2 linked regions of the Ovis aries genome follow. The protein of the gene in region 1 purifies or fractionates together with the protein of each later gene. This does not show direct contact. Links are inferred from orthologs where the notes say so. Each region holds a gene or a part of one and is shown in the gene's direction. Other genes may lie near its edges.

Region 1 (4,203 bases):
TCAGGCAAGTGCTTCCTGCAGCGCCTGGCACTGAGGGAGCCTGTGACGCCAGTCCGCCAGTCCCAGGGCCCAGCCGGCATCCTCCCGCTTCACGTTCTTTAGGGGACCCTGGGCTCCAGTTGGACAGCAGGCAAAATCAGGACATCTTACGCGCAGAGAAAAGGGGGCGCACGTTCCCTCTTCGCCAGGCCCCGTTCTCCCTGGTTCTGACTGTCCTGGTTGGTGCTTGTGAGGGGCCTCCTTATAATTGCCCCAGATCTTCTCTGAGCAGAAAGTCCTGCCAGACAGAAAAGTGTGTGCTCAGCAAATGCCATGTTGCTCCTTAGTATTCGGCCCTGTGGATTATCTGGGATCAGGAAGCGCTTTGTTGTAAAAAGCTAATGCAAAAAGTGGAAGTCAAAGTGTTAGTCGCTCAGTCATGTCCAATTCTTTGCGACCCCGTGGACTGTAGCCCGCCAGGCTCCTCTGTCCGTGGGCTTCTCCAGGCAAGACTCCCTGAGTGGGTAGCCATTTCCTTCTCCAGGGCACCTTCCTGACCCAGGGGTTGAGCCTGTGGTGCTGCAGTTAGATTCTTTACCATCTGAGCCACCTGGGAATAGCCCCAGGTCCTTCACAGTGAATCACACACAGGTCAGCACCAGGGAGCTTTTTAACTTTGGGGTGAAAATCAGACAGGGCAGCAGACCCCAAGTCCTTGGACTTCTCCAGCTTGGTTCGAGGGTCCGTGCTGATGACGGTGTGTCGTGCCCCCCGCCCCCAGGCTGCAGGAGAAGGCGGCCGACACCATCGAGGCGCTGCAGAAGGCGGGCATCAAGGTGTGGGTGCTCACAGGCGACAAGATGGAGACGGCGGCCGCCACCTGCTACGCCTGCAAGCTCTTCCGCAGGAACACGCAGCTGCTCGAGGTCACCACCAAGCGGCTGGAGGAGCACAGCCTGCACGACGTGCTCTTCGAGCTGAGCAAGACAGTGCTGCGCTGCAGCGCCAGCCTCACCCGGGACAACTTCTCCGGGTAGGCGGGTGTCCGGGGCGTTCGCAGGGGCAGGGCGGCCTCCACAGGCAGGGCGGTGGCCGGCACTCCCTTGTGCGGACACAGGTCTGTCCTCTGGCCCCTGGCAGCGTCCCGTGGTCGGGATCCTGACCAGAGCCTTGTCTTCTCAGCAACTGTGATGTGTCTTTGCGTCGAGGGTGTGTGTGTGCGTGCGCCCATGCTCACTTGCAGACTGCTGATAGAGGATACACGGAGGCTTGATTCATTGACTTATACACTATCGTGTGTGAGGCGATGCCCACCTATTTCTGCTCCACCCGGGGGCCACGCTGTGGATTCCTCGGGGCCTCTGCCAGAGTTGGGGTGGGGGGACAATGACACATGGTCGTTTGTCAAGTAAGACAAAACAGTCCACAAGAGTTGTTTTCCCCAAGAATGCTCACCAATTCATGCACATTCTACCAACATTCTCCTTGCTGGCCTTCGATGTGCGATCTGAGATAAGACTCTCTTTGAACTTAAATTTTCATTAACTTAGCAGAAGCAAATGGGGCTCTCTAATCATACACGAATTTAAAATTATTCATTCATAAATAGTACAAAGCTATTTCCCGTTACCTGGTCTGCAGAATTCCTTTTGGGGCTTAGAGATGTTCCTTTTCATTTTGAAACCCAGCAAAGAGAAGTATCATGACTGCGTTCTTCCCAAGACAGGCAGAGTAGCAAGGAGTTCCCAGCTGTGGCCATCAGGACTGTGGGGCTGAGGTGGCTGGGGGTCGGGAGAAAAGGTCGATCTTTCCGGATGGCAGGATAGACGCTCTCCCGCTGTTGTACCGCGACCTGCCCAAGAATCCAGAGTTGTAGCTGTTGTTTGCTTTGCCCTAGTGAAGTGAGAACATTAAGTTCACATACAGTTTTAAAATGTAGTCAAAGGTCTTGCAGCCCCAAGTCTAGACTGTCTTATTATTGACAAAAGAAGAAAACCCACTTTCTTAATCCTTGTTCCTGAATTTGTAGCATGGATAGGTACCCCCTAGAGTAGCTAGTCTCCTCAAATCTCTGGACTTGGTTACTGAGAGACGTCTCTGGTTTCTGTGGCCTGACAGACTTTCGGCCGACATGCAGGACTACGGCTTAATCATCGACGGAGCCGCGCTGTCCTTGATCATGAAGCCTCGGGAGGACGGGAGCTCCAGCAACTACCGCGAGCTCTTCCTGGACATCTGCCGGAACTGCAGCGCTGTGCTTTGCTGCCGCATGGCCCCGCTGCAGAAGGCCCAGGTGTGCTGGGGGCGGGGCTGCAGGAGGCCCAGGTGTGCTGGGGGCGGGGCTGCAGGAGGCCCAGGTGTGCTGGGGGCGGGGCTGCAGGAGGCGTGCCGGGGGCGGGGCTTCAGCCTTGTGTAGTGATGTCCGGAATGGAACAAAGGGTGCTGTTTTGTCTTCACATGTTACCTTTTGGGTTAAGTGACTTCTCAATCTTATACCAGCCAGTGTCTCAGTCTTGAATCAGGAAGACAAGCCGTAGCCCCTCATCTTTTCTGTCTTGCATCATGGAACATTGTACTTACGCACATAAATAGGAAAAAAAAGACTGTAAAGAAACAGACTAAGAATTTGGAAATTATTCATTTCATTGAGCTATCAGATTTGGTTTTGCACACATGACAAATTTGAAAATTGAAAGAACAGTTTATTTTCAAAAATAGATGCTTGATACAAGGCAACTTGGCATAGCACCATCCTCTAACGGAGTGCAGCGCTCACACACTGCCCCTGCCCGAATTTAAGTCTGCCTGCCCCACATCTGAGTGAGTGGGGCAGCCCCTGAAAATGGCTCCGTGGGTTTCTTGGCTCTGTCCTCAGCCTCCCCCTCAGCCTTCTCCTCTCATCTTCCTGCATTCGTTTCTTAGCTGCTTAAGTATGTTTCACTTTTGACGTGAAAAAGACTTTATCCTGTATGGATAAAATGTACTGAATATAATAATTCACTTTAAGCACTTAATTGTTTCATCTTCCTTGACTAACTTTGGCGTCTTTGTCCTTTCTGCCTAGTTAGTGGTTGACCTTTGCAAAAATAAAAGAGAGACAAGAAAGTCTGCGTTCACTTCTTTTCCAGATCGTTAAGTTAATCAAGTTTTCGAAAGAGCACCCGATCACCTTGGCGATTGGCGACGGCGCGAATGACGTCAGCATGATCCTGGAGGCCCACGTGGGCATCGGTGAGCCCCTGGGCTCTGCCCCCCTGCCTCTCACAGTGGCCAGGGTTTGTCCCTCAGCTGGACCATCGGGGACACAGACAAGGCAGGACCGTAGGGTTCAGACACACACTTCAGGCACACCTGTGACGCAGAGCGTTCCGGGCTGGAAGCCCACAGCAATGGCTCAGTCTAACCCTGCTTTGCCCATCCCGTGTCCACCTGCCAGAGGCAGAGGAGGGCTGATGCAGCGCGTGCGCTCCCTTCTTGCAGGCGTCATTGGGAAGGAAGGTCGTCAGGCTGCAAGGAACAGCGACTACGCGATACCCAAGTTTAAGCATTTAAAGAAGATGCTGCTTGTTCACGGGCATTTCTATTATATCAGGATATCCGAGCTTGTGCAATACTTCTTTTATAAGGTAGGAAGGCTCTCCCACCATTTAGGCTCTCCCACCGCCGCGCCTCTCACCATCTCTGGGTGTGTGATGGGTTGGGTGAAAGGCTGGCCAGCCGTGATGCCCCGAGGCTGCAGGGGTGACTTGTCCCCGAGTAGAAGGAAGGATTCCCAGGAGGAGGCGCCTGGCCCTCTTCTCTCAGCTGGATGTAGAACCACTGAGAGCCGCGCTGCGGCAGACTGAGGAAGGCCATTCTTTCACCAGTCCGTGAAGGAGCTCCTCGTTGTCCACACTGATGCCCAGGGTGCCTCCTCTTTTCTCTGTTAGGAGTTCCCCTTTGCTCTGATCTCGGGGAGACCGGCCTGGTCCCAGCTGCACCATGGGGGCCCCTGAAGTGAGAGGAGTTTTAGAGTCATTGCCCATCTTGGAGGATGAGGGGTGCTCTGCCCGGGGTGGAGTGTGTCACGGGTCAGCCTCTTAGGCACCCGGTGACACCCCTTACGCTGCGCCCTTGAACTAACAGGCACGTGGCTTGTCTTTCAGAACGTCTGCTTCATCTTCCCTCAGTTTTTATACCAGTTCTTCTGTGGGTTTTCACAGCAGGTGAGTCGTCAGGCCTGAG
Region 2 (4,903 bases), on another chromosome or scaffold:
CCAACTCAGGGATCGAACCCAGGTCCCCAACATTGCAGGTGGATTCTTTACCATCTGAGCCAACAAGAAAGCCCAAGAATACTGGAATGGGTAGCCTATCCCTTCTCCAACCCAGGAATGAACTGGGGGTCTCCTGCATTACAGGTGGATTTTTTTACCAGCTGAGCTACCTGAGAAGTCACCTGTCAGAATGGTTTTCATCAATACCACAAATAATAAATGTTGGTGAGGATGTGGAGAAAAGGGAACTCTTGTGCACTCAGTAGGAATGTAAATTGGTGCATCCACTGTTGGAAAAAGTATGGACGGTTCTCAAAAAATTAAAAGTATAACTACCATATGACCCAGTAATTCCACTCCTGAGTATTTATCTTTCCCAAATGAAAACAGTAATTTGAAAAGCTATATGCACCCCAATTGCATACCAGCATTTCAGGTGGCGCTAGTGGTAAGAAGGAATCCTCTTGCCGGTGCAGCAGATGTTAAGAGACACCGGTTTGATCCCTGGGTCAGGAAGAGCCTCTGGAGAAGGGCAGGGCAATCCACTCCAGTATTCTTGCCTGGAGAATCCCATGGACAGAGGAGCCTGGTGGCTACAGTCCATAAGACTGCAAAGAACGGGACACAAGAGATTAGCATGCATGGAAGCAAACTAAATGTCCATCAACAGACAAATGGAAAAGAGTTAATTCTCACACACACACACACACACCACGCAACGGAATACTACACAGCTACAGAAATGAATGAAAATTTGTCATCTGCAACAACTTGGACAGACTTGGAAGTTACTACGCTAAGCTAAATAAGTCAGACTGAGAAAGTTTAAATACTGTATAATATCACTTGTATGATCTGAAAAAGTAAAACTAGTGAATATAACAAGGAAGGAGAGAACAAACTAGTTACCAGTGAGGAGAGGGAAAAGAGGAGGGGCGAGGAGGGGCAAGGTGGGGGCAGGGGATTAAAATGTACCAATTATTAGGTGTATTTTACAGCATTGGGAATATCGCCAATGTTTTTTAATAACTATGAATGGGGTGTAACTTTTAAAAGTTGTGATTCATATTGTACAACAACTGTATCTCATTTTTTTAAGACTTAGATCAATATGCAAAAGATAAACGTGGACATAGGATAGATGGTACAGAGTAGCCTGGAGATCATTAATGGTGGAAAAACAAGTCAGAGCAATTATAGGCATGATAACAGGGTAAACCCAGTCACATGATTTATTCCTGAGAACAAAAAGGTCACCAACCATATACATCCCACTTAATATTTATCCTCGCACTCTGAGTGGAGGTTTATTTCTTTAAGTAGACAAAGTCGTGGTTTTGTAACTCAAGCAAATACTGCCAATGCCACGAGGCTCAGGCTCTCTTTGTGTGGCCTTTCCACTGCTGCGCTCCCCTTCACAGAGGACCTCGAAGTAGAGGAAACACCTAGCTGGCTTGAAGCCATCCGCCCCTCGGCTGACGGAAGCAGTGCAGGCGGGGCGGATCCGTCAACCACCTGAAACACCCGTCGCCATGATACCAAAAAGAGCGGGCAGCGGAGTGCGAACAGAAGCTTCCGTGAGCCGAGTGGAAGACGCGCTTATGGCGCAAGCGCCGAGGCCTCTTCGCCCCACCCGCCCCAGGGCCGCGCATGCGCCAACGCAGCTTCACGCTCGGGATAGAAGCCCTCACTTTGTCGTCACAGGGCAGATGATCGGGGTGCGTCCGCCTTTTCCCTCCCCCTTCCATCCTCCTCCCCTTCCCCCTCCCCTTGCCCCTCAGTCTTCTCCCTCCTTTCTCTCTCCCTCCCTCTGGCGTCCCCCGCCAGCTCTCGCTTCCGGTCGGCGGCTGTCTGCGGAAGGGTGTCCCGCCCCTTCCGCCTCTACAGCGGCGGCGGCGGCGGCGCCTGCGCGTCTCCTGTCAGGGTCAGCGGGCGGGTGCCCTGGGCCGTCCACCTGCGCGTTGCGGAGCCGCGCCCGGGGGGTCGATGGCGATGAACTATAACGCGAAGGATGAAGTGGACGGCGGGCCCCCGTGTCCTCCGGGGGGCACCGCTAAGACCCGGAGGCCAGATAACACGGCCTTCAAACAGCAACGGCTGCCGGCTTGGCAGCCCATCCTGACGGCTGGCACGGTGCTGCCCACCTTCTTCATCATCGGCCTCATCTTCATCCCCATTGGCATCGGCATCTTCGTCACCTCCAACAACATCCGCGAGATCGAGGTGAGCGGCGGGGAGGCGGCGGCCGTGCGCGTTGGCGCCGCGGGGGAGCGGTGTCCCTCCTTCCTGGGGTCCAGGGGGTCGGGCGGGCCCTGCCCTTCCCCACCTTCTGTCTTCCTCAGTTTCCTCTTTCTTTTCCTACGGGTTTTTCCGAATTTGCAGTTTTGCCGGCGCTTTCCCTCGCTGTTTATCCAGTCGGGGAATGACTCTGTAATGCAGAGTGTGGGTCAGGGGAAGAACGCCCCTTTGATGGGCGGTTTGTGTGGTTTTGAACCTCTAACGGAGGTTAAAAAAGGAAAAAAAAAAAAAGAAAAGGAGAAGTGGAAAGAAGTTACATGGACATCAAACTCCAGGAGAGTTGACACGGTCAGAGTGTCACTTATCTGTGTGGGGATTATCCCGAGTCACGGAGATCAACACCTTGGCCGTTGTTGGGGAAAGGACCCAGTGTCTTAGAGGCAATGATGGTTTTTATGTAAAGAAGTTGCCATGTGGCACATCACGTATTAGGACCTGTGACCGAAGTGTGTACAGTACTTTTCACGTTGAGCTCACAGATGCTTTTACTTACAGGGGCGTGTTACGGGTAAAAGGTAACTTGACGCTTCAATTCCGGTTTTACTTTTAGGTTACATTGATTAATAATCATGCCCTACATTCGCCCTCGTCCTCCCTCAACCCTCCCCACCCCGCCAGATTTTAAACTGAAAAAAAAAAAAAAAAAAAGTCTGTGACCTCGCAGGGAGAGTAATTTGTGAATTATTTCCTGAACGTGTTACTGTTGTAAGACATGATAGAGAAACTTGGGGAAACATCTTGACTTCCGTCAGAGAAACCATCATCGTAATATAGTATCTTCATACATCTGCAGTGGTGAAGATAGGTTGGTACAGAATGTAAATACTTTGTGTACATATCCAGTATTAAACATCTGCTCATCCTCTTTTCTTGACTATCTGAGGGTATTTTTTATCTGTTTGAAAGGGGAGGAACGGGCACAAAATTCTCTTGATTTTTTTTTGTTCTATCAGTTATGTCATTTTTTTCCCTTTTTAATTATACTAAATACTGTAAAATGTATGCATGCAATTTAATAGGGCTTTCAAAACAACTTTATTTCAACGGCAGGGATAGGCATACTTTCCAATTTAATTAACAGTGTTACCTGTAAAAGCAGAATCATTATATTTTTAATTGTACAACGTGTACATTTCTGTGTTAGTAATACAAGTGTATAGCACAGTTTAAAAATCTTTTACTGAAAGTTCATTTTCAGTTAATAATGAAGTATCACAGTAAATTTTTTCAGTCTAATGTCCTCTTTTATCATTTTTATCTCCTAGTAGACCCTCAAATGTAGTCCTTAGTGTTCTCCCAACTGTATTGTGCTGTGCTGTGCTGTGCTCAGTTGCTCAGTCATGTCCGACTCTTTGAGACCCCCATGGACTGTAGCCCGCCAGACTCCTCTGTTCCTGGAGATTCTCCAAGGCAAGACCACTGGAGTGGGTTGCCATGCCCTCCTCCTGGGGATCTTCCCAACCCAGGGATTGAACCCAGGTGTCCCTCATCGCAGGCGGATTCTTTTACTGTCTGAGTCGCCAGGGACCCCCCCAAACCTTTTTAGGACCACACATACCAGGATGTGAGCGTAGTGGTATAATACAAGGGCTGTGGGCTCTAAGCAGGAGTCAGGCAGAGCTGGGTTTAAATTCCAGCTCAGCTATTAACTGGCTCAGTTTGTTGCAAAACATAATCGCCCTAAATTTCTTCACTTGTAAAATAGGTAAATAATTCCTATTTTTTGTGAACTGTGAGATTTAGAAACAAGATAGATAATATTCCTGGCACTACATTTATACACTAGTTACTGTATTGTGATGTCCGCTAATCAGGAGATGAGAAATGGAGTCAGAGGGGTTGGTATTTGCTAGTAAGCTAGAAAAGCATTGTAAAATAGAGACAGAAACCAAACCTGGATGTCTTGATTTTCAGTCTTAAGCTTTTACACTATACTGGGATCCTTATGTCTATGTTTTTAGTGGATATTAAGATGAAAGCAGCAGTTTGGAATTTATATGATGAGTATTTACTAAATTATCAGAACTCAATTTCTGTCAATATTTACTATGAAGGTAAATGTTAACTTTCTTTAAAACTTTCGGATTCTGAAATAAAGTTCTTCACGCTAGTTGATGAAATGGAAAGTTCTTAAATAATTTTCATGTATGTAATTCTGATTTCAAACTGTCTGAAGAGTCTACTGTAGCTGGATCTCGTTAGAAGGACACTGAAGTTGAGTCAAGGCATTAGAGTCCAGCTTTTACTCCCTAGTTTGTGATCTTAGGCATGTTTTTGAGTCTCAGTTTTCGTTTCGCTTGAAGAGCTGAACGATTCAGACTAGATGATCCCTTAGAGGCCTTGTTCCACTTTAATATTCCGTGACTTCCAACTTTAATGTGATTTTAAGAAAACGCTGCATATTCAAGTTGTATCACCTTTGGAACTAGAGGAGATGAGAATTAAGAGTGATGAGGAATTTTGTACCAATGCTCAGATACAGTTGTGCAAATAAATTTTTTAAAAATTTGATGATTGTGTAGAGAAGTGGTTCTGAATTGAGCCTGGAGTTACTAGAAGAACCTAGGGAACTTCCCCTAAGCACACATACTTGTTTCTGACTGCT

The links. Proteins that work in one complex are often made in the same cells at the same time.
Region 2: the proteins of ATP11A (region 1) and TMEM30A purify together in Homo sapiens (co-immunoprecipitation; 4 studies listed by BioGRID and IntAct, with this or other methods). This does not show direct contact. The link is inferred for Ovis aries from reciprocal best matches to the Homo sapiens genes ATP11A and TMEM30A.

The regions. Positions count from the first base shown.
Region 1 is NC_056063.1:85,711,825-85,716,027, forward strand, and holds part of ATP11A (phospholipid-transporting ATPase IH), read left to right. Parts: intron 1-760; coding exon 761-1,012; intron 1,013-2,097; coding exon 2,098-2,272; intron 2,273-3,107; coding exon 3,108-3,210; intron 3,211-3,459; coding exon 3,460-3,605; intron 3,606-4,124; coding exon 4,125-4,184; intron 4,185-4,203. UniProt on the Homo sapiens protein: Catalytic component of a P4-ATPase flippase complex which catalyzes the hydrolysis of ATP coupled to the transport of aminophospholipids, phosphatidylserines (PS) and phosphatidylethanolamines (PE), from the outer to the inner leaflet of the plasma membrane.
Region 2 is NC_056061.1:2,092,669-2,097,571, reverse strand, and holds the start of TMEM30A (cell cycle control protein 50A), read left to right. Parts: upstream 1-1,985; 5' UTR 1,986-1,986; coding exon 1,987-2,223; intron 2,224-4,903. UniProt on the Homo sapiens protein: Accessory component of a P4-ATPase flippase complex which catalyzes the hydrolysis of ATP coupled to the transport of aminophospholipids from the outer to the inner leaflet of various membranes and ensures the maintenance of asymmetric distribution of phospholipids.